Linked DNA regions of Callithrix jacchus. The protein of the gene in region 4 purifies or fractionates together with the protein of the main gene of each other region. This does not show direct contact. Links are inferred from orthologs where the notes say so. Each region holds a gene or a part of one and is shown on either strand. Other genes may lie near its edges. The genes, in order: NUP43, SEH1L, NUP62, NUP98, SEC13 and NUP133.

Region 1 (3,500 bases), on a different chromosome or scaffold from region 4:
AAATGTAATTAACATAGCTTAAAGATAATTGCTATAAACAACCAAACACATTAATTTTGGATTACATTACTGAAATTACAAATCAATACTTACAGTGACAATATCTGAGAAGGCTCATTTCCTTGTTGTCTGAAATCCCATATTTTCAACTGTCCAATTGAATTCACAGTAAGAATCTCAGGAGTTCGAAGAAAGGTTACAGCATGGAGTGTACTACTATCTGCATTGTCTAAAAATTTTTAAAAATGGTAATATGTGTTAATGAGTTCCTTTTTTCCAAGAAAATCTTAAATCACACTCCTTTCATGGATTGCTATATTACAAATACAATTTCCAGTAACTAATAATTTAAATTTCTATAGAAAAGTACACAGTAATGTACATGTTTAAATGAATTCTCTTTGGATGGAAAAATATTACAGGACATCTGAACTGTTTTCTTTTTCTTTTTATTTTTTTTAAGATGGATATTGCCATGTCACCCAGGCTAGAGGGCACTGGTATGGTCTCGGCTCACTGCAACCTCTATCTCCCAGGTTCAAGTGATTTGCTTGCCTCAGCTTCCCTAGTAGCTGGGATTACAGGCACACACCACAACGCCCGGCTAATTTTTGTATTTTTAGTAGAGACAGGGTTTCACCACATTGGCCAGGCTGGTCTCGAACTCCTAAGCTCAGGTGATCCACCCACCTCGGTCTCCCGAAGTGCTGGATTTACAGGTGTGAGGCACTGGGCCCAGCCTTGAACTGTGTTAGAAATGGAAGGCTGAGTTTTCATACATTCTTTTTTAACTCTTAAGATTGTTCCCAGCACTTTGGGAGGCCAAGGCGGGTGGATCACGGGGTCAAGAGATCGAGATCATCCTGGTCAACATGGTGAAACCCTGTCTGTACTAAAAATACAAAAAAAATTAGCTGGGCATGGTGGCACGTGCCTATAATCCCAGCTACTCAGGAGGCTGAGAAAGAATTGCCTGAACCTAGGAGGCAGAGGTTGCGATGAGCCGAGATCGCGCCATTGCACTCCAGCCTGGGGTAACAAGAGCGAAACTTCGTCTCAAAGAAAAAGAAAAAGATTGTTACCCTGCATTTCTGAGAGAGTTGTTCAAGCTCCCCTAAACCCAATCTTATTTCCCACTAGTTCCTGATCTAGAACTTCCCTTCTATTGGGCCAAACCCCTGTGCTTTCTACAGAGCTCATGCCAATCTTGTATTATTCTGCAGACTCATCCCAAATCTACTTATTTTCATCCTCATCAACTCTCGCCCTCTCTATGAAGTCATTCCTGATTGTTATAATGGTCCTTCTGTTGATTTCCTGGTGTTTAGAACTTATGCCTCATAATTTAACATATACTTTATAGACTTTAGTTTGTGCCACTCCTCTACACTGCCACCAGACAACGGTCATTAATTAACAAATAAGTGATGTTGCCCAGTGCAGTGGCTCACACCTGTAATCCTAACATTTTGGGAGGCCGAGGCGGGCAATTCACTTGAACCCAGGAGTTGGAGACCAGCCTGGACAGCATGGTAAAACCTCATTTCTACAAAAATTAGCCAGGCATGGTGGTATGCATCTGTGGTCCCAGATCCTTGGGAGGCTGAGGCAGAAGGATTGCTTGAACCTGGGAGGCAGAAATTGCAGTGAGCTTGGATCATGCCACTGCACTCCAGCCTGGGTGACAAAGCAAGACCCTGTCACAAAAAAAAAAAAAAAAAAAAAGCAATGCAACTTAACTCAGAACTGAAAACCATAATAAACAACACAGAAAGCCGAGCACGGTGGCTCACACCTGTAATCCCAGCACTTTGGGAGGCCACAGTGGGCAGATTACATGGTCAAGAGATCGAAACCATCCTGGCCAACATGGTGAAAGACCATCTCTACCAAAAATACAAAAATTAGCTGGGAGTGATGGTGGGTGACTGTAATCCCAGCTACTCAGGAGGCTCAGGCAGGAGAACTGCTTGAACCTGTGAGACGGAGGTGGCAGTGAGCCATCATGCCACTGCACTCCAGCCTGATGACAGAGTGAGACTCCATCTAAAAAGTAAATAAATAAATAAAACAAAACAAAAAGATGGACGTATGGGCTCAATTCCTAGCGATTCTGATTCAAGAGGTCTAGAGTGGTGGACAGTTCAAAAAAACTTCCTCAGGCAAGTCTTATTGAAGCATAGTTGAGAACCAATACACTGAGTTTTCCACCTACAAGATGTAATCTCTGTGATTTTGCATTATAGACTCCTTGCAATCTGGCCTGTTTACCCTTCTCTTGCTTCATCTTTCATCTCTCCTGCATAAATATCTAAAGTTGGGTCAAACTATACTTTTTGTCATTCTCTGAAGGTCTTTATCCTGTCTCTGGCCTATTCCCTTTGTCTAGCATGCCATCTTTTAGTATTACTTATGGTCTAGAACCTAGAAAAAACTATTACTACCTACTCCCAGATGCTTTATCTGATAATCCCCTCTGGCCAAAGGAAAAAAAAGGTTTCTGTCTTCTCTAGTCAGTCATTTGTACTGGCCTCATCAATATACTGTCTTGACAAAAGCATCCTGTCGTGTGTGTGTGTGTGTGTGTGTGTGTGTGTGTGTGCGCGCGCGCGCACACATTTATATATATATTTTTGAGACAGAGTCTTGCTGTCACCCAGGCAGGCAGGAGTGCAATAGTATGATACTGGCTCACTAAAGCCTCAGCCTCCTAGGTTCAAGCAATTCTCATGCCTCAGCCTTCCAAGCAGTTGGGACTATACGCGTGTGCCACCATTGCCAGTTAATTTTTATATTTTTAGTAGACAGGATTTCGCCATGTTGGCCAGGCTAGTCTCAAACTCGTGGCCTCAAATGATCTGCTTGCCTTGACCTCCTGAAGTGCTGGGATTATAGGCATGAGCCACTGTGCCTGTCCATGTATTTTTATATCCCTCAACCATTTAACATTGTGTTTACTTCTGAAACAGAGTCTTGCTCTGTTGCCAGACTGGAGTGCAGTGGTGTGATCTCAGTCCACTGCAACCTCCGCCTCCTGGGTTCAAGCAATTCTCCTGCCTCAGCCTCCCCAGTAGCTGAGACTACAGGTGCGCACCACCATGCCCAGCTAAGTTTGTATTGTTGGTAGAGACAGGCTTTCACCATGTGGCCAGGATGGTCTGGATCTCTTGACCTCGTGATCCACCCCTACCTGGCTGTGTTTACTTAGTATATCGTAAGTACTCAATTACTCTGTGAGAGATGAAAGAAATAAAATGATTTTTCTTTTTTTGAGATGGAGTCTCCTTCTGTTGCCCAGGTAGGAATATGGCAGTGCCATCTCAGCTCACTGCAACCTCAGCCTCTCGGGTTCAAACAATTCTCCTGCCTTGGCCTTCTGAGTACCTGGGATTACAGGCATGTACATACTACCACACCCAGCTAACTTTCATATTTTTAGTAGAGATGGTTTCACCATGTTGGCCAGGCTGGGATTTTTCTTACCTATGGTTCTTACAGCT
Region 2 (3,615 bases), on a different chromosome or scaffold from region 4:
ATGAAATACTGTTCAAAACACCTGTCTCTCTCTAGCCCTGATAGGTTAAACCCTTGATAATTCCTCAGAAAACTGAACCAAAATGCCTATTACTAGTTTTAACCATTTTGCCCCAATTACTGTCAAGTATATTCTAATTTTAAAATATTTTAGAAAAAAATCTTTTCTAACGTTGACTAGATTGAAAGTCAACATCTGTCCATTCTATATGTTAGTCTACCTACTTTCTACCTTTTAAATAAATGTAATATTTGCTCACATCTCCTAATTTTTATTTGTTTGGGTTTTTTGTGAGATTATGAAAGAAGAGTAAGCCTTAGCAACTATCTTAAATAAAATATATCCTATTTTTATAAGGCAAGAGATTCATGTATTTAAAAATATATTTTATTATATAACCTACCCGGATAATTACAAAAGCTTTAAACAGTAATTCTAAGCAGTGAAAGGCAATTTCCTTTAAAAAAAAAAAAAAAAAAGACCAAAAAGTCCACATTAGGTTTTGCAGCTTTATACACAGGAATGCTTTATTTTATTTTACATACTCGTCAGTTGCAACATTAGCCTATAAAATTAAATCCATTTCTTAAGGTCTCAAAGGCAGAATAAACTTCACAATAATATGCTTTCACATTAGCCAGTCTGATAAAGCATAAGCAACTTAAGACTATGGTAACAGTTCAAAATAAAATTACAGAACAGGCACTTTGAAGTCTGCTTCTGTGTATAATTTCACAGATAACATTATTTGGACATACCTCATTTCATCAAAGGTTATCACCCAGAGAAGCAAATGTTCCGTTGCTGCAGACGCACAAACAGATTTAGGTTCTGAACACTGTATTCTGGTAGTAATACATGCAAGACAGACCCTAAGTTAGAAAAATCTTCTGAAAGAAAATGAAGAAAAATAGCAGCCAGAAATGAAAGCATTTACAAGCACTTGAATAAGGCCTTTCAATGTTAAGTCAGTGTTTTAAACCCCTTCATTCTCAGGTAAGGGATTAAGAGGCCGAGAGAGATATCGTCTGCGAGGGTGAGGATACTGGAGGTTGGCAGTGTCAGCATCGCAAGAGTGCTCTACCAGAGGAGGAAGAGGAGGAGGAGGAAGGAGCTGGATAGAACTGGACCATCTCGATCCAGCCCGTGGGGAATCCAGAGGGGGAAAGAAATACCTGAAACAATTAAGACAGGAACAAACACCAAACAAAACAAAAACAACAGGAAAAAAAAAAAAAAAAACAAGAAAAAGAGAAAAGTAGTAAATACAAAGAGAACCAAAGAGGAGAAAACATGCTAGGAAAAAAAAAAAAGCACAAATCAAGACCCTTACTCAAACCAAGATTGCTTAAGCAAGTATAAAAACTTGAAAGAAATACAATCTGTTAAACTTAAAATGTCAAAAAAAATCAATATAAACGTTACAAAGAAAAACATTAATTTTATAAATTCAAAACATTTTCTAATCTCTCAGAAACATCTGATGCTATTCTGTTCATTTACAAATCTAATAAGCTTTTTATTTTAAGCAATGGTTCACTCACAGCAGCAGCAAGCACACTCTTTTTTTAGTGCATACATGATACTGGGAATACAAAGAGTATGGCTGTCTACTGCAACATGCTTTTGAAGAATTATATTGAACATACTTATTTTTCTGCAAAACCCTTAGAATAGCTACCGAATTTTGACAAGTAAAAGGATTCACAGAATGACTGTTCCCTATTGTTAATCTTGTTCCATCTTGTAACTTACCAGTAATACTTATGCATTTTAGCAAACTTAAATATTTATAGCTTTGTTATCAAGGTCACAGCTTTACAGGATATGAACTAATTTAAACAGCCAACTAAATTAAGAAAATCTTGAGACATGGAATGCTGACATTCATTTACATGCACAATTTTAGTAAAATTTTAATGGCTTCTCTTATAGTACGTGTCCAAATTTTGATGTGAAGGAAACTAAGCCATGAAATAAATAACACCATAAGAACATATAAATGTATATTAGCAACATTTATCTCTTTAGTGAATATCAATTAAAAACTTAACAAAAAGGTGTTTCCATCTTACTACCAAATTATAAATGAAACACCACCAAATGCTTAACCTGGCTACAAACTGTACAGTTAAGTTACTTTCTTTTTACTATTACTACTTTACTAATTCACTCCTTTACTAATATTTTTTAAATATTACAAAGAAATGACAGAGTTGTACTGAATATCATGTATAAAGCAATTCTACAAAAAGTAAACAAATCAGCACTCAAAACAATCTTTATGAAAAATATTTATTCAATCTTCAAATTAAAATTAGAAGAGTTCATTTTAAGCTGTTTTAAGAAAGCAAAAGAAATATGTCTGTATTTTCCCAAAAAATTAAAGTGATATTTCCCCTCTTCTCAACTAGTTACATAAGAAGGTTAACAACCCTTTTAATCTTTAAACCCAAGTTAGTTTGAGGAACATTTCAAAAAATTGTTTTGGTGACAATGTCTCAACAGAAAGCCTCTCCATTTATATTTCAAAAGTTTCAAATAGTGTCAACAAACTGACTAGTACAAAAAAATATACACCGTATTTTTAAAGGCCTTTTGGGTTGCGTTTAGTAGTAAGCAGGCTGCTGGTGTATCTTGGGAGAGGTCAAAATGGCGCTGGGGAAGGGGAAAAGGAGCTCGCTTTCCATTCCTGTGTGCATGCAACAAGCAGCAAAACAGCAAAGTTACTCCAGTTAGCTTGTACTCAGCTGTGCTTTCTGTTAAAGGACATAATACAAATGGAAAGGGAAAATGCATCACAGATCTAACACAGATGGTTATTGGCACAATTAAGAATACAGATCAAAACGTCGAAGCTATTTACAAAAGAAAATACATAGTACAAGCAGTGACCAAAAACCAGACTTTAAAAATCAACTCTAATATTACTTGTTTCATGAAATAATCTTTATAATCTGGTATCTTCCACAGTAACCTGAAATTATTTTGATGCTCATATTTACAACCTCAAAAATCAAAAGCAGGAATTCTTTATAAAAATATAACAATATAAAAATAGTTGAAATTTTAAATACAATTTTCTTCTTTTATTTAGGATATCCATTAGGCTGTGTTTTGAAGCTTCCTGATTTCTATTCCAAATTTATTCACAAAGGCCTATTAAAATAGTTTTATCTTACAAATTCACATATTTAAAATTTGAACATGAAAATAAAAGGATGACTCTTTAGATGACATCAGATATTCCTTATTACGATACACAAGAATCTAACATATGCTAACATTTTAAAAATCAATCTCAGATTTTATTATTTCCTCTTATTTCCAATAAGTTTTAAACACAAAAACCAAATAATTTAATGTACTCTCTTCTAAAAAGCCTTAATTAATGTATTTATTTAAAATTTCAGTTTGACCTGATACAAAGACCACACTACAAGCACTAAAAAACACTAACGTTCATTTGGACTAAAACCCTCACTATTAAACCAGATAACCTCTTCCTCTCACTGCTGCAGAAGCAGCGTTGAATCTTAAACCTATAAACATTTCTACCAATACATCACTAAAGCTTCAGAATATAATGTAATAGCCTCATAACCTACCAGCAAA
Region 3 (4,224 bases), on a different chromosome or scaffold from region 4:
TCGGCAGGGGTGGGGGGTGGGTATGGCACAAGCGTGCCTTCTTACCACTGCCAGTCGGTCCAACAGTCTACCCTTAATTCCATCTGCATTTGCTCAAAAACCTGTACTGAGAAGTGGAAGGAAGTTGGTCCCGAAATCTCCTTTGTAAATTGGATGACCAGTCATAGTTTGAAAGCACTTACTGCACAGGAACAGAAAGAGAACACATCCACCTTAATTACAGCAATACAGTAACCAGCTTTTACGCAGCACCTACTGTGTACCAGGCAGTCTTTAAACCTCGTAACAGCCTTAAGAGGTAGGAAATGTTTTTGAGACAGGGTGTCACTCTGTCCTGAAGGTTGGAGTCTGGTGGCCCAATCTCGGCTCACTGCAACCTCTGCCCCTCCCCAGGGTTCAAGTGATCTTCCTGCCTTAGCCTCCCGAGTAGCTGGGACCACAGGCGCAAAATACCACACCCAGCCATTTTTTTATATTTCTGGTAGAGATGGGGTTTCACCAAGTTACCGAGGCTGGTCAATTTCTGACCTCAAGCAATCTGCCCAGAATGCTGGGATTACAGGTGTGAGCCACTGCACCTGGTCCAGCAGCAGGCACTCTTAATGCCACTTTGTACTAAAGGGGAAACTGAGGCACAGGGAAGGGAAATGACTAGGGCCGCACAGCTAATAAGTGGGGTGCAGTTAGGTTTTGAACTCATATAATCTGGCTCCAGAGTCTACGCCAGGGATGGATACTCTTTTGGCTTCCTGGGCCCACACTAAAATTGTCTTGGGCCACACATAAAATACACTAACAATAGCTGATGAGCAACAGATAAATAAATACAACTGCAAAAAAATCTGCATAATGTTTTAAGAACGTTCTGGGCTACATGTGGACCCCCGGATGGGACAAGCTTAGTCTGTGCTCTGAGCTGCTAGGTTACATACTGCATAGGTGATAACACAGCCCCTCAGCCAAAGGAAATACAGGACAAGTGCTCAGAAACTGGGAGAGTGGACAGTAAGTGCTCCAAGAGAAGGTGGTCAGATCCCGAGAAGGACTTCCTGCCTGCCACAGGGAAGGGAGGACAAAGAAGTTTGTGTGTAACGCTCAATACCAGGGTTCCTACACCTTCTCTGGACCCTGATTCACTCTCTTAACTGCCACAGAAGAGATGAAGGTTGAACTCCAGCTGGGATGTCCTGATGTGGATTGGACAAGGTGGCTTTCTGCAACAGAGAAAAGACCAACATCCACTTCAGCTGGCGGAGGGCCCAGTGCAGGAGAAGGGGCAAGATGGCTACCCTGTCTTTGACTAAAGGAAAACGGAGATCTTCCATTTTTGGCAGGCTTGGGAGACAGCTCCTATCCAGTGGAGGCTAAGAAAGCCTGTCTGAAAGGAAGCCAAGGCAAGGGATGGAGAAAAGAACGAAGCTGGGGCCTCGATGCATGAATCCCTGCCAGGGGATGGGGCCTGGGCACCCATCCTTTGGAATGGGAGGTGAGGACGGCTGGAAGTGGACACTTTGGAGGAATGAGGGAGACAGAAGAATGACCCACCAGCAGGTGTTGGACAGTCCAACGCCTGCGGCTCTTGCAAGCAGGGAGGAAGAAGTGAGACTGGGCCCCAGAGTATCTATTAATAATAAAATATGGCTGCGCACGGTACTTCACGCTTGTAGCCCCAGCACTTTGGGAGGCCGAGGCAGGTGGATCACAAGGTCAAGAGATAGAGACCATCCTGGGCAACCTGGTGAAACCCCGTCTCTATTAAAAACACAAAAATTAGCCCGGAGTGGTGGCTCGTGCCTGCAGTCTCAGCTACTCGATAGGCTGAGGGCAGAAGAATCACCTGAACCTTAAAGGGGGAGGCTGCAGTGAGCCGAGACTGTGCCACTGCACTCCAGCCTGGGTGACAAAGCGACACTCTTTTCTCAAAAAAAAAAAAAAAAAAAATGTTGAACAGGAATGTATGAGTTGAACTCTGGGCATAAAGCTTGGCGGACACATTGTCTTGAGTCTCATAAATCCGCTACGAGAGTTGATTTTCTTATTTTGCAGACAGGGAAACGAGGTGAGGGAACTTATTTGCCCGAGGCCACCCTGGCAGGTCTGCGTTGCGGAGGGGGCTGTGACTCATGCTGGACTCTAACCCACGAGGGTTCTAAGGGTCAGCAGTTGGGGGATGGAGATGAAAAGTGTGGCTGGCAGGAAATTCTGGAAGCAGGGAAAGGGAAATTAATCGGTGCGAGTCTGCGGGAAGGGAATGAAGCAGGCCCAGACCTCAGAGGCAGAAAGAGAAACCAGAGCCTAGAGTCAGGAGGAAAAACCAGACCTCGGAGCCACAAGCAGGAGAGGGCCCGATCCTGTGAGTGGGAAGCAGGGAGTCGGATCCTCTGATCCCCACGAGGAGGGGACCGGGCTGCCTCCCGCTTGGGGCCGCGCGAGGGCGGGGCGCGGAAGGATCCGGGAGGGCCGTACTGCGCCACCCCGGGTATATCTATCCCCAGTCCCCGGGGCCGCCTCATTCCCCGACCTCAGTTCACAGTCTTCTCACTAAGCGTCGCCTCCTCCGCCCGCGTAGCCCCGGCCATGGCTCTGTAGCCGCGACCCCTTTGTGCCCCCAGCCCGTCTCCGCGCCTGCGCTCTCCGTCCCACCTTCTTTCTTCAGCCGAGGCCACCGCTGCCTCTTCCTGCCGCAGCCATGGAGTGAGTAACCGCTCGCCTCTCCTTGTCCAACCGCCTTTCCCGCGCTTTCGCAGCTCGTGGCCCTCTTTAGGAAGCCCTGGGGGTGGGGAACCACGAGCGGAGAATCACGGTCGCGCAGGCGCGGAAGAGGGACGGTGGGCCGAGGGCGCGCGGGTGCGCATGCGCACTGGGCCCGGGGCCGGGTGGGAGAGTTCTAGACTTGGTGTTTGTCAGCCCGCGTGCGGCTGCGGCTGCGCATTCCAGGGAAGGGTGTGCTTTTTTCTAAACGATTCTGTGCGTGCTTGGTTGCTCTTGCGCAGTAGCCCACTAGTGCCCCGTATGAATGAGCGGCGGGTCCTGTGCGGCGTCACACACGCGCATTGATCCCCAGGAGGGCGGCGGTGTAAAAGCAATTGGACCGCTCCGGCGGCGGAGCATGCACTTTGGCCCTCGGGGGCAAAGCCATGTGTAGACGGGGCGTTCGGGTAGCCATTCTCTGCCAATCCCCTCTACCCTCCTCCACCTCTCCGGCTCCACGTTGCTCTGACTCACAGCACAGCTTTCTTTTATTTCAACTAGGCACCTGCTGAGGCGGGGACTCACGTAGATTGACAGGGCAGAAGGCGGGGCTTAGAGGAACCCCTTTAAACGGGTGGAACCAGAACCACGTCGTCACGATGGGTGGGACTTAGGGAGTTCATTATGAGAAGGGGCGGGGCCAAGGCAACCATTAGCTGAGGGATGGGACAAAGAGGCGGGGCCTCTAAGGAATCGGGGGCGGAGCTAAACAATGAGGGGCGGGGCTTGGAGGGGCAGTGGGAAGGCGAGGCGTGGGATTTGAGTGGATAACATTAAAAGGCTGGGATCTGGGACGGTTACCCTGGGAACTGATTTGGGATGGAAACTAGGAAGGCAGTGGGGCCAAAAGGAAATATTTTAGAGGAAGGGGCGTGGCTGGAAGAAAATGTCCCTAGGATTGAGTTTTTCTATGAAGCGAAATATTCTGAGGTGGATGGGAGGGGCCTAAGGTAATTCCCCCGGGACACCCTTAGGTTCCGTATTGGGGGAAGAGGTGGGGCATCGGTCCTATAAAGCGAGTTCCTTGGTGGTGTGTGGGGCTCAGAGATTTGGGGAAAGAAAGGACAAATTTAGTATTCGGAGAGGGCGAGGCTTAGTCCTAAACCCTGGTTTGAAGGGGGAGGAAGGAACCCCATGGACGTACCTGGGGCTGTGGCTTGGCTTCCCTATGAATTTTGGCTGGTGGGCGAGGCTGTTCCTGACCCCACCCACTCTTGTCTCACGCGTGTAGGTCTTCCACTTTCGCCTTGGTGCCCGTCTTCGCCCAGCTGAGCAACCTCCAGAACCTCGTCCCAGTTGCTGCTGCAGCGTCTCCTGTTGCCATCAGTGCCCAGCACCTGTGCTACCGCCATGTCACTCCTGGCGACCCTGGGTCTGGAGCTGGACAGGGCCCTGCTCCCAGCTAGCGGGCTGGGATGGCTCGTAGACTATGGGAAACTCCCCCCAGCCCCTGCCCCCTTGGCTCCCTATGAA
Region 4 (3,500 bases):
CTGTATTTCTCCCTTACCCCACATACATCCAGGTACTCCTCCCTACTCCTATGGTATCCCTAAATTACTATTTTTCTCCACAGCCCTTATCCCAAAATGCAATTATGTTTTAGTTATCTGTCTCTCCTCAATATAATCTAATATGTTATCAAGTGCTTACTAGTTCCAAAGGCAGTTTTGTTCTGACCATATGCAAAGCCTGAATTAGTGGTAGAGGAGCTGAAGAGTCCTGTTGCACTGGAAGTGGCTGGAGAAGACCCAAACAAGCCAGTTGTGGTACCTGCTCCCACCTGGTTCTGTGGGCCTTTCCTGTTAGCCTGATAATCCTCTAAGCGAAGTTCCTGAAGGGAGGGAAAACATATTTCTAATATTAATATGCAGCTTAAAATAATTACTTAGGAGACTAAAGACTTGAATTTAGTACGCAAGTTCTATGCTTACATAGGAACCATGACTAAAAAAGAGAAAACTAAGGAATCACCTTATATCGTTACAGAAAAACATTTCCAATAAACACTAAAATCCATACCGTAATTATTGTAAAACTACAAGCCAAAGGGTCAACCATAATTCTCAATTTTCTTTTACAAACAATACACTCTTCTTTTGGTAAAATGCCATAAAATAACCCTAAATTTCCCTAGCCCTACAATATAAAAAAAAAAAAAAAGTAAAAATTATAATGAAAAGATGCTGATTCTGTGGGGCAAAAAATTTACAAAAAGAGTAGTTTATCAATTTTGCCTAAAGTCAGGATGTTCCTGGCACAGCCCAATAAAGTAAGCATAGTTTGTTATGTCAAAAGAAGCTATCACTACAATCAGGAATGATTATCCAAATGTACAACCTACTACATAAGCAATAAGAATGAACAAACTAACTTCATGCAACAACATGGATGAATACCTCAATTTTGAAAGACAGCCATTAAAAAGTACATAACGTGGCTAGGCGCTGCAGCTCATGCCTGTAATTCCAGAACTTTGGGAGGCCTAGGTGGGTGGATCATGAGGCCAGGTGTTCGAGAACAGCCTAGCCAACACAGCGAAATCCCGTCTCTACTAAAAATACAAAACTTATCCAAGCATGTTGGCATGCAGCTATAATCCCAACTACTCCGGAGGCTAAGGCAGGAGAGTTGCTACCCGGGAGGCAGAGGTTGTAGTTAGCTGAGATCGCACCACTGCACACCAGCCTAGGCAACAGATCAAGACTCTGTCTCAAAAAAAAAAAAAAAAAAATTAGCTGGGCATGGTAGCGCACACCTATATAATCCAAGCTACTAGGGAGGCTGATGTGTAAGAATTGCTGGAACCTGGGAGGCAGAGTTTGTAGTGAGCCAAGATGTGCCACTGTATGCCAGCCTAGGTGACGGAGTGAGACAGTCTCAAAAAAAACCAAAAAACAAAAAACTTTTATTAAGCTGCATGACTTTGCATGATTTAATTAAGAACACCTTCATATGCACACACACACATTACCCAGTGTTAACAGAACCAACATTTAGATGAGAACAGATGACTAGACTGGGCTCAGTGGCTCATGCCTTTTATCCCAGCACACTGGCAGGCCGAGGAAGAGGATCACCCGAGCTCTAAGAGTTTGAGACTGGCCTGGGCAACATAGTGAGGCCTCACCTCTACAAAAAAATTTTTAAAGTTAGCTGGGTGTGCTGGCACGTGCCAGTAGTCCCAGGTACTTGTGAGGCTGAGGATGCGGAGCCCGGAAAGCCGACACTGCAGTGAGCTGTGATTGTGTCACTGAATTCCAGCTTGGGTAAAAGAGATCATCTCAAAAAAAAAAAACCATTAGGGGTGCAAGACCTTAACATACACCTGAATATTATCTCTGGCTAAAAAAGTAGATAGCTACAAATATAATACTTGATTTTTAAAAACAATTTGGTTGATGTTAATTTTTTACATAAACCCAAACTGAACCACTCTATCCTAAAGATAATCAAAACCATTTAAAAATCTTTTGGATGAAAAGAATCCAAGATTCTATTGGATTCTTTTGATTCCAACAGAATCAAAAGGTTAGACTGACATTCTGTATTTTATTTTACTGACCTCTAGTGACTTGCTTTCATATTCTTTCATAGCAGTAATACACTGGTGCTTGGTACTTATGTTAGTGCTAACTCCAGCTTTGACCATAGTATCTGTACCAGTTGGAGGCTGCAAAGTTAAATAAAGGTAAATATGTAAGTCCAAGTTTTATCACATATACAATTTCTCAACCACTGAACTGTAAAACGAGTCACCCCCCGCCAAGTCTTTTATACTGAGAGTTTCAAGGGTGCTTGATTAAATAAATATACTGCATTTCTGATGTCTCCCTACATCAAGGTTATCTGAAGAAATCAATCTTAGTAACAAAGTAATTTCAAACCCAGGAATTAATCCCGTAACTCAAGCCAACCAACTACATGCTAAAATACATGTAATATTATACATACGAAAAGCTTTACTCAATATATACATTTAAACCTCTATATTTAAATTCTCCTTTCTGTTCTGCCCTGTCATGTTGCATTAAAAAAATATGAAAACCAGTCAGGCACGGTGGCTCACACCTATAATCCTAGCACTTTGGGAGGCCAAGGGGGGTGGATCATGCGGTCAAGAGATCGAGTCCATCCTGGTCAACATGGTGAAACCCTGTCTCTACTAAAAATACAAAAATTAGCTGGGCATGGTGGCACACACCTTTAGTCCCAGCTAGTCAGGAGGCTGAGGCAGGAGAATGGGTTGAACCTAGGAGGCAGAGATTGTGGTGAGCCGAGATCGAGCCGTTGCACTCCAGCCTGGGTAACAAGAGAGAAACTCTGTCTCAAAAAAAAAAAAAATGGAAAACCAGCTGGGTGCAGTGGCTCATTCCTGTAATCCTAGCACTTTGGGAGGCCAAATCACTTGAGGCCGGGAATACAAGACCAGCCTAGCCAACGTGGTGAAACCCCATCTCTACTAAAAATACAAAAATTAGCTGGGCATGGTGGCAAACGCCTGTAATCCCAGCTACTCGGGAGGCTGAGGCAGGAAAATCGCTTGAATCTGGGAAGCGGAGGTTGCAGTGAGCCAAGATCGCACTGCCGCACTCCAGCCTAGCTGACTCTGTGTCAAAAAAAAAAAAAAGAAACCTGTTTTTTCCCCATAACTTCATGAGAAAAAAGGCACGATAAGTAAAACCAAAGATTCTTGCTTGTACTGCCAGTTTTCTCAACTACTGTACTTTCCAAGGGACATCACACAGTATTTTTCACCATCATTTATATTTTAACTTTAAATTCAGGGTCACCAATTTACCTGAGAAATTCTTCATTTTCTGCAGTTTATTTTAACAAGAAGTTTTATTTCTGCCAGAGATTTCCGTTAGGCTAATTGCACCTCCAGCGTATCCTAAGAATCCCCAATCATTTACATTGAGTGGTATTCCATATGTTTCTGTAAACAAAATCTTCCATTCTAGCTCTCCACCCAACCGCTCTCAAAAAAAGA
Region 5 (4,125 bases), on a different chromosome or scaffold from region 4:
ACTGCACACTTACTCGTTGAGTGAATGATGGAATGAATGAGAACTAACGATTGAAAGTATCTGGGCTGAGCCTGGCATATATAGTACATGCTTTCTCTTAGAAAGGTGAGTGTGCCTCAGCAGCAGGTTTGAGGGAACCTTCAGGAACCCAGAAATCAGAACACTGCGTTCTTGCTCTACAGAGGGCTAGGTGTAAATCACTCACTGCTGGTTAGAGTTGAGGGTCTTATGCTCTGACATTCAGCTTATCCTAAATGAATTTTTAACTCATTATCTTTGATTTCAAAGAGGTGAATTGTTTTGAGTGCAGGTGTTAACAGGGACCAGATAACACCAGGTGCCCAGGAAGAAGTACTCTCTCTCCCCTTCTCTGCCTCTCCTCTCCCCATCCTTCTCTCCCCATCCCTCTCCCTCCTCCCTCTCTCTCCCCCTCCCCCTATCCCCCTCCTTCTCTCTCCCCCTCTTTCCCCCTCTCCCCCTCTCCCCTCTCCTCCTCCCTCTCTCCCCCCTTTCCTCCCTACCTCCTTCCCTCTCCCTCTCTTCTCTCCCCTTCTTTCCCTCTCTCCCCTTTTCTCAAGAGGCCCTCCCTCTCTCCCCTCCCCATCTCTCTCCGTTCCTCCCCCTCCTCTCCCCCTCCCCCTCCTCTCCCCCTCCCCCTCCTCTCCCCCTCCCCCTCCTTCTCTTCCTCTCCCTTTCTCTCTCTCCCAGTCCCTCTCCACCCATCCCTCTCCACCTCTCCCACTGTCTCCCTGCCTTCTTTTCTCTTCCCCTACCTCCTTTTCTCTCCCCCTTCCTCCTTCCTTCCCCAGTCTTGTTCAGAAGCATGGGTCATCAACCCTGACTGGTGGGTGAGAGTGGTTAGAACTAAATTCTGGTTATTTCTGAGGTCCTTTGGTAACCTGGTTGAAACTACCTCTCAGTAAACTTTCTTCCTGAATCTACTTATCCCTCAGCTTTGCAGAACTCAGGGTAACAGCTGCTTTACCTTCTAAAGAGGCAGCCTGGTGGAGTGAAGTTTTGTGGGCTGGGAGTTAGAAGGTTAGGGGATGGGGCTCTGCCTTTAACTAGCTCTATGACTTTGGCAAGTGCTTTCTTTGCTCTGGGCCTCTTCAGTTCCTTAGTCTGTCTTAGGGCACTGATTGACTCTGCCCTTGGTACCTGCCCTCCCCACCTTCCCATGCACTTTGTAACTTATACAGCTTGGCACATGGAGGAAACTCCTTCTAGTCCTTACTTGCCTTTGCAGACTTGGGGACCTGTTTTTTTGTTGTTGTTGTTCTTTGTTTTTTGTTTTCAAGATGGGGGTTTCACCCTGATGGCCAGGCTGGTCTTGAACTCCTGACCTCAGGTGATCCACCCACCTTGGCCTCCCAAAGCAGGGACCTGTTTATTAGAGAGTCTAGAGTTTGATGAGAGAAGCTGTGCTTACTTGGTGTGTACCTCTTGAACTGCTTTGCAGCCATCCTCTTCCAGTGTCTGCCTTTCTGAAAACACAAGTCAAACTTCATACCTACAGGGCTTGTGCTGGAAAAGATGAAATGGGGAAAATGGTAAGAAATGTCTGTTCCACACCGAAACTTCCTTTTAAGTCCTTTTTCTATCCCAAGAATTTAAGAGAATAGTGGTTGAGCAAAGAAAAAAAAATAACAGCTTTTGTTAATTTACTTATTGATTCAGCAGATAGTCACTGAGTTCCTTCTATTTGCAAAGCGCTGTGCTGGATAATTTGAGAGGATTTGAAATTGCAGATGGCTCAGACCATGGCTCCAAGGGGCTCACCTTCTAGTGGGGAGAAGAAAAAGCATAAAACATTGTATATGTTCAGTGCTGAAGATATGCAAGAGTCCAGCCATTTGAGGATCTGAGCATCTTAAAGAAGGGTGGAAGGGCAGACCTCAAAGAATGAATAGGAGAGTGATGACCATGACACCACGTTCCAGCCCTACAGACTGTTCAACCCTGGATCCCACTTGGTGATGGACCGGGGAGCAGCCTCAGGAAAACTCGAATCAAGCCTCCCAGTCTGAAGTAATAATCCTGTTATGCATTAACTGCCTGGAACATCAGAGGCCCTGTCATCCAGGAAGGGAGCATCAGCTGTAGCTCCTTTGTGGTCTCTCCTCACCCTTAAGAGTAGCCAGGACTGCTTGCCATTTCCCCACACACATCAAGCTCACTCAGACCCCTTTGTCTTTATTCGTGTATTTCCTCTGCCTGGCCACTTGGACTGGTACTGTTTTCCCTTGTGCCATCTGCAAATTCCTACTCATCAACTAAGGCCGAGTTCATGTCTACCACCCCATCCCCCTCAGTCTCCTGTAGGACATGCAGACCACAATTAAAGAATTTATCTTGGCCGGGCATGGTGGCTCACACCTGTAATCTCAACATTTTGGGAGGCCAAGGCGGGCGGATCACAAGGTCAAGAGATTGAGACCATCCTAGCCAACATGGTGAAACCCCATCTCAACTAAAAATACAAAAATTAGCTGGGCATGGTGGCACGTGCCTGTATCCCTGCTACTCAGGAGGCTGAGGCAGGAGAATCACTTGAACCTGGGAGTTGGAGGTTGAAGTGAGCCAAGATCGCGTCACTGCACTCCAGCCTGGATGACAGAGCCAGATTCCACCTTAAAAAAGAGCTTCTCAAGGGCAGAAAGTTCCTCTTATTTGTGTCTGTGTATCCAGTTCCTGGCACACTGCTTGGCAAAAAGAAGGTACTTAGAATGAATGCTTAATGAATGAATGAGTGAACAAATGCAGTCAAGAACTTGAGATGATTGTATTCTAACTGCCATCAGTTAATTTACCAGCGATATCTTTGGTTCTAGGTGTCAGTAATTAACACTGTGGATACCTCCCATGAGGACATGATTGTAAGTATTAATATCACCCTCCCTGGAGGGCTGTGGACATGGGCATTTTTGTGGGAGGGAAGCAATTGGGTTTTTCATTACCCCTTCCTGTTGCTTATTCATGGATCCAGGGTGGCTCTGCATTGGTTGCCCATCAGCCTGTAACCTCAGGGGGTATGGCTGGGCTCCCCAGCAGTGCCCTCTGAGTAGTCAGGGCTGCAGCAGTCTGGTCACTCTCTTCTGGGAGGAACCCGGGAATAATTTGTAGTTCTAGGCTCTCGGTCTTCCAGCCAACACAGTAACCTGCTCTGGGATGAAGCCTGGGTGAGTGCACAGGTTTGACAATAGACTTCCCACCTGCCTTCCTCTTCCTGTCACTTCTTGGCCCCGTTGGAAAGGGGGGTGAAAAGTAGAGAGTGTCGGAAGATGACTCAATACAAAGGCAGAAGGTGGCCACAGTGAAAGCCCCAGGCAGAGCCCAGTCAAACTACCAAGACAATATGCCAGATAAGGCCCTTTGAACCAGAGGTCTGTACTCAGGGCATTTCCTGCTAGGTAAACGTGGGGCTCAGTATAAGAGGACAGGGCTGCAGGAGAAGGTCCAGAGGATAAAGTCTACAGCAGGAAAAACTCTGCTTCATTCGGGGCCAAGCCGCCTTTGAGCAAGAGCCAGGACAGCTGACTGACAGCATTGCATGTCAGGGTTCTTGCCCTCACAACCTGTCTACCAACAGTTGCTTTGGGTTTCTGAGAGGTTGTCTGGTCCCAGAGTTGTATATGTTCTCTGGATTCAGTCACGAGTGGTCTAGCTGTAAGACCACACCTCTTTGGAGATAGCTTGGCATCATGGTCAGGAAGACCTAATCTGAGACTCCCTAACCAATATCTTAACTATTCTGAGCTAGCCTCACTTATGGGAAAAATAATGGATGTGCTATCTATTTGTATGAGTTTGGTTTGAGAAACAGATGAGGCAAAGTAGTAATGACAAACATTTGTATGCTTACTGAGTGTCAGGCCCCATGCTAAGTACTTTTCACTCAATATCTTGTTTAACCTTCGTAACAACCCTTGAAACAGATGCTGTCATTAGCCTTATTTAAACATAAGGGAACTAAGGCCATAGGATGTTGGTAAATAATAAAGATAAGGAAACTGAAGCTCAAGGAGATGAAGTAGTTTCAACAGTTGCACAGCAGGTAAGCTAAGGAGATAGGATTTAGATCTGTAAGGTACTTTGTCCTGCCTCCTTCCACTGAGAAACATAAGA
Region 6 (3,500 bases), on a different chromosome or scaffold from region 4:
TCTCTCTTTTTTTCTCTCTCTCTCTCATGCCCAGGCTGGCCTCAAATTCCCAGCCTCAAGTGAGCCTCCTGCTTGATCAGTAAGTTTTTATGTGAATATATCCAAAATAATGAAGGTTAAAAAAAAATTCCAAATTTTGTATCTAAAATGAAGATATCTAAAATTTGTATTAGTAATCATCTAGTAAAATAATTTATTAATTTTTGTTTTATTGCCTTAGAAACAAAATCTTGCTCTGTTGCCCAGGTAGAGTGCGGTGGTGGAATCATAGATCACTGCAGCCTTGGTCTCCTGGGCTCAAGTGATCCTCCCGCCTCAGCCTCCTGAATAGCTGGGACTATGGTGCAGACCATCAGCCCAGATAAATTTTTATTTTTATTTGTGTGGAGACAAGGTCTCGTTTTGTTGCCCAGGTGATCTTGAACTACTAGCTTCAAGCAATCCTCCTGTCTTGGCTTCCCAAAGTGCTGGGATTATAGGCATAAGCCACCCAGCCTGGCCAAGTAATTTATAAACCTATTCACTGAAATTATAAGCCCAGATCGCAGCTCTGGCCAAATGGACAACAAATCAGAAAGTGTGAATGACTATGAGGAAGACAAACAAACACTACTCTCAAAATAAAGAAACCCATCCATATGAGGAATTCTCTGTACAGTTCTGATCACAAGACCTCACGGAAGTAAGAGAGTACTAACTAGATCATTTAGAGTAAAGGAGGAGAGGAAGGTCAAGAGGGTGAGGGCTGCACCTCACAGGGATCCCACTGGTCAGCATGACAACACTGGGGAAGAAGAGTCCTGGGTGGACCCTGCATAGCAATTCCTGAGCATGCTTCTCATTCTCAACCCCATGCCTCCAGTTCTGAAAATTATGTGAAAAATGTCTGCACTATATGCCCACAGTGGGCTGTCCTAAATTTCCAAAAGTCTGGTAAAGACAAACAGGTAAACTGTATTTAAAATACTGGCTGGGCGCGGTGGCTCACGCCTATAATCCCAGCACTTTGGGAGGCCGAGATGGGTGGATCACAAGGTCAAGAGATCGAGACCATCCTGGTCAACATGGTGAAACCCCATCTCTAAAAATACAAAAATTAGCTGGGCATGGTGGCATGCCTATAGTCCCAGCTACTCGAGAGGCTGAGGCAGGAGAATTGCTTGAACCCAGGAGACAGAGGTTGCGGTGAGCCAAGATCGTGCCATTGTATTCCAGCCTGGGTAACAAGAGCGAAACTGTCTAAAAAAAAAAAAAAAAAAAGAAAAAGAAAAAAGAAGAAAATGCTTACAGAAATCAAACAAGTACTATTACTTTTACCTCTTTGATAGCTTTTGTAAGGTTTTCAGAGACTGTAAAGGACCCTACTAATAGTCTCAATAGCCCTAGAAAGAGAAAAATTACACAAAGTGGTACAACTGCAATATCCCTCAAAGGAACAAGTAGAATTTGTTCTACTTAACCAAAACATGTAACAAGAACATTAAAAATTAAAACTCATAAAACATATTCTTTAATTTCTGAGAAGTTATCTTCGAAAGGATTACTAGTTATATATTTGTATTCACTATGAGCAATGTTACAAATGGTTTTTAAGTTCCATGTGACCTTCAGCATTAAAGTTAAATAATAACATGGGTAATTAGCTTTACCAGACTAAGCCGGGATCCTATGTACCACTTGGGGCACTGTTTCTAAGAGGAAATTTACTCTGAGTATGAACTCTGATGAAGTTCTAAGCTGTGCTACCAAGACAAAACCTTACCTCATCCTTTACTCAGCACAGCCACAAATGTAGGCCTAAAGCTCCTTGAGCAACACAAGGAGGGTGGGAAACATGTGCCTAATACCTCTAATAAGAGCAATGACAGCATGGGGCACACACGACAGTGGGCAATGACAGGATCTCAGGCATCTCTTGGCAGTGAAGAAGAGAAACTCTAGCTGTAAGCACAGAAAAGCTATGTCTCTAACTAATGAGACACCAAGGTAAGAATATACCATTTAAGGCTGAAAAATGCCTCGATTTCCCAAATGAACTAGGATCACTTGATAAACAACAGCAAAACCATTCAGTAAGGCTTAATAGACAGTATGAGAAGATAAGCACTGAAAGAACAGGGTGGGCACTGTGGCTCACACTTGTAATCCCAGTATTTTGGGACACCGAGGCAGGAGGACTGCTTGAACCCAGGAGTTCAAGACCAGCCTGGGCAACATGGTGAGACCCTATCTCTACAAAAAAATTTTAAAAATCAAGCAGGTGTGGTGGCACATGTCTGTAATCCCAGGTACAAGGGAGGCTGAGGAAGGAGGATTACTTTAGCCCAGAAGGTCATGGCTACAGTGAGCTATCATGGCACCACCATATCATGGTGACAGAGTGAGACCCTGCCTCAAAAAAAAAGAGACAGAGAGTGAGATTGCTCATGATTTTATAAGAAACATCAACTTATTTTTTTCCAAACTCTTATCTGTGTTCTTTATGACAAATTGCTTACCAGTTTTGCTTCAAGTCCAAATATCGAATGTTGACTCCTTCTTTAATAGCTTCATAGTTACTTTCAGATCCCTACATGAAAACATCAATAATGTAAGCTTCTTGAGTGTAGGAATCATTTCTTTTCACCTTTATATCCCTAGCACCTAGTGAAGTGCTTCACCCATGATAGCTCAGTTGCTGAATGAAAATGTACATTTAAAAAAATCGCTAAGCAAGTAAGCCAGTGCATTCTGATATTTCTAGAGACTGACTACCTCATTTCCACTTAATCTGATAACTATACACTTGTTTATTACACTGAAATGTGTTGAAATAAATAAAACATTTAAGGGAACCAGCATTATCATACAACCATAAACGTGAATTACAGAGATGAGTATTATTGCTCCTTACCCAAATAGCATCAGTAATGTTTTCCTTCAGGGCTCTATTTATATCCCAACTATGCACATGTTTTTCCGAAGTATCATCTAATTCCCATTTACTGATGTTTGAACTTGTCAGGCTGTAAAAACTTGATTTCTCACTATCCCAAAGAACACCTGAAAGCTATTCAGAGAAGAAAAAGAAGTCAAATTCACAGAATAAGTTCTAATGTTAAAGAACTATTGTTTTAAAACTCAAATTTCACATATTTGATTAGTAATCCTAAAAGAATTCTTCATTCAGGACTTAAGAAAGGGATTCTGGGCCAGGCATGGTGTCTTAGCCCAGCAATCCTAGCACTTTGAGAGGCTGAGGCAGGTGAACTGCCTGAGCTCAGGAGTTCAAGACCACCCTAGGCAACATTGTGAAACCCCATCTCTACTAAAATACAAAAAAGTTGCTGTGCATGGTGGCACATGCCTGTAGCTCCAGCTACTCAGCTACTCAGGAGGCCTGGGGCAGGAGAATCACTTGAACCCGGAAGGTGGAGGTTGTGGTGAGCCGAGATCACACCATTGCACTCCAGGCTACGTAACAGAGCAAGACTCTGTCTCCAAAAAAAAAAGTAATCCTG

The links.
Region 1: the proteins of NUP98 (region 4) and NUP43 purify together in Homo sapiens (affinity purification with mass spectrometry; 4 studies listed by BioGRID and IntAct, counting the BioPlex papers as one, with this or other methods). This does not show direct contact. The link is inferred for Callithrix jacchus from reciprocal best matches to the Homo sapiens genes NUP98 and NUP43.
Region 2: the proteins of NUP98 (region 4) and SEH1L fractionate together in Homo sapiens (co-fractionation; 3 studies listed by BioGRID and IntAct, with this or other methods). This does not show direct contact. The link is inferred for Callithrix jacchus from reciprocal best matches to the Homo sapiens genes NUP98 and SEH1L.
Region 3: the proteins of NUP98 (region 4) and NUP62 purify together in Homo sapiens (affinity purification with western blotting; 3 studies listed by BioGRID and IntAct, with this or other methods). This does not show direct contact. The link is inferred for Callithrix jacchus from reciprocal best matches to the Homo sapiens genes NUP98 and NUP62.
Region 5: the proteins of NUP98 (region 4) and SEC13 purify together in Homo sapiens (affinity purification with mass spectrometry; 4 studies listed by BioGRID and IntAct, counting the BioPlex papers as one, with this or other methods). This does not show direct contact. The link is inferred for Callithrix jacchus from reciprocal best matches to the Homo sapiens genes NUP98 and SEC13.
Region 6: the proteins of NUP98 (region 4) and NUP133 purify together in Homo sapiens (affinity purification with mass spectrometry; 6 studies listed by BioGRID and IntAct, with this or other methods). This does not show direct contact. The link is inferred for Callithrix jacchus from reciprocal best matches to the Homo sapiens genes NUP98 and NUP133.

What each region holds. Positions count from the first base shown.
Region 1 is NC_133505.1:156,520,735-156,524,234, forward strand, and holds part of NUP43 (nucleoporin Nup43), read right to left. Parts: coding exon 3,484-3,500; intron 230-3,483; coding exon 94-229; intron 1-93. UniProt on the Homo sapiens protein: Component of the Nup107-160 subcomplex of the nuclear pore complex (NPC). The Nup107-160 subcomplex is required for the assembly of a functional NPC.
Region 2 is NC_133514.1:49,490,222-49,493,836, forward strand, and holds the end of SEH1L (nucleoporin SEH1), read right to left. Parts: intron 2,760-3,615; coding exon of another isoform or gene 2,747-2,759; exon of another isoform or gene 1,176-2,746; coding exon 977-1,175; 3' UTR 501-976; downstream 1-500. UniProt on the Homo sapiens protein: Component of the Nup107-160 subcomplex of the nuclear pore complex (NPC). The Nup107-160 subcomplex is required for the assembly of a functional NPC.
Region 3 is NC_133523.1:43,702,823-43,707,046, forward strand, and holds the start of NUP62 (nuclear pore glycoprotein p62), read right to left. Parts: upstream 2,801-4,224; 5' UTR 2,644-2,800; exon of another isoform or gene 2,512-2,643; intron 2,354-2,511; exon of another isoform or gene 2,162-2,353; intron 1,215-2,161; 5' UTR 1,147-1,214; exon of another isoform or gene 1,103-1,146; intron 182-1,102; exon of another isoform or gene 46-181; intron 1-45. Other genes in the region: ATF5 (cyclic AMP-dependent transcription factor ATF-5), read left to right, coding at 4,102-4,224. UniProt on the Homo sapiens protein: Essential component of the nuclear pore complex. The N-terminal is probably involved in nucleocytoplasmic transport.
Region 4 is NC_133511.1:69,199,430-69,202,929, forward strand, and holds part of NUP98 (nuclear pore complex protein Nup98-Nup96), read right to left. Parts: intron 2,181-3,500; coding exon 2,073-2,180; intron 342-2,072; coding exon 161-341; intron 1-160. UniProt on the Homo sapiens protein: Plays a role in the nuclear pore complex (NPC) assembly and/or maintenance. NUP98 and NUP96 are involved in the bidirectional transport across the NPC. May anchor NUP153 and TPR to the NPC.
Region 5 is NC_133516.1:67,482,917-67,487,041, reverse strand, and holds the start of SEC13 (protein SEC13 homolog), read left to right. Parts: upstream 1-1,325; 5' UTR 1,326-1,409; coding exon 1,410-1,550; intron 1,551-2,831; coding exon 2,832-2,876; intron 2,877-4,125. UniProt on the Homo sapiens protein: Functions as a component of the nuclear pore complex (NPC) and the COPII coat. At the endoplasmic reticulum, SEC13 is involved in the biogenesis of COPII-coated vesicles.
Region 6 is NC_133520.1:21,060,146-21,063,645, reverse strand, and holds part of NUP133 (nuclear pore complex protein Nup133), read right to left. Parts: intron 3,050-3,500; coding exon 2,894-3,049; intron 2,570-2,893; coding exon 2,499-2,569; intron 1-2,498. UniProt on the Homo sapiens protein: Involved in poly(A)+ RNA transport. Involved in nephrogenesis.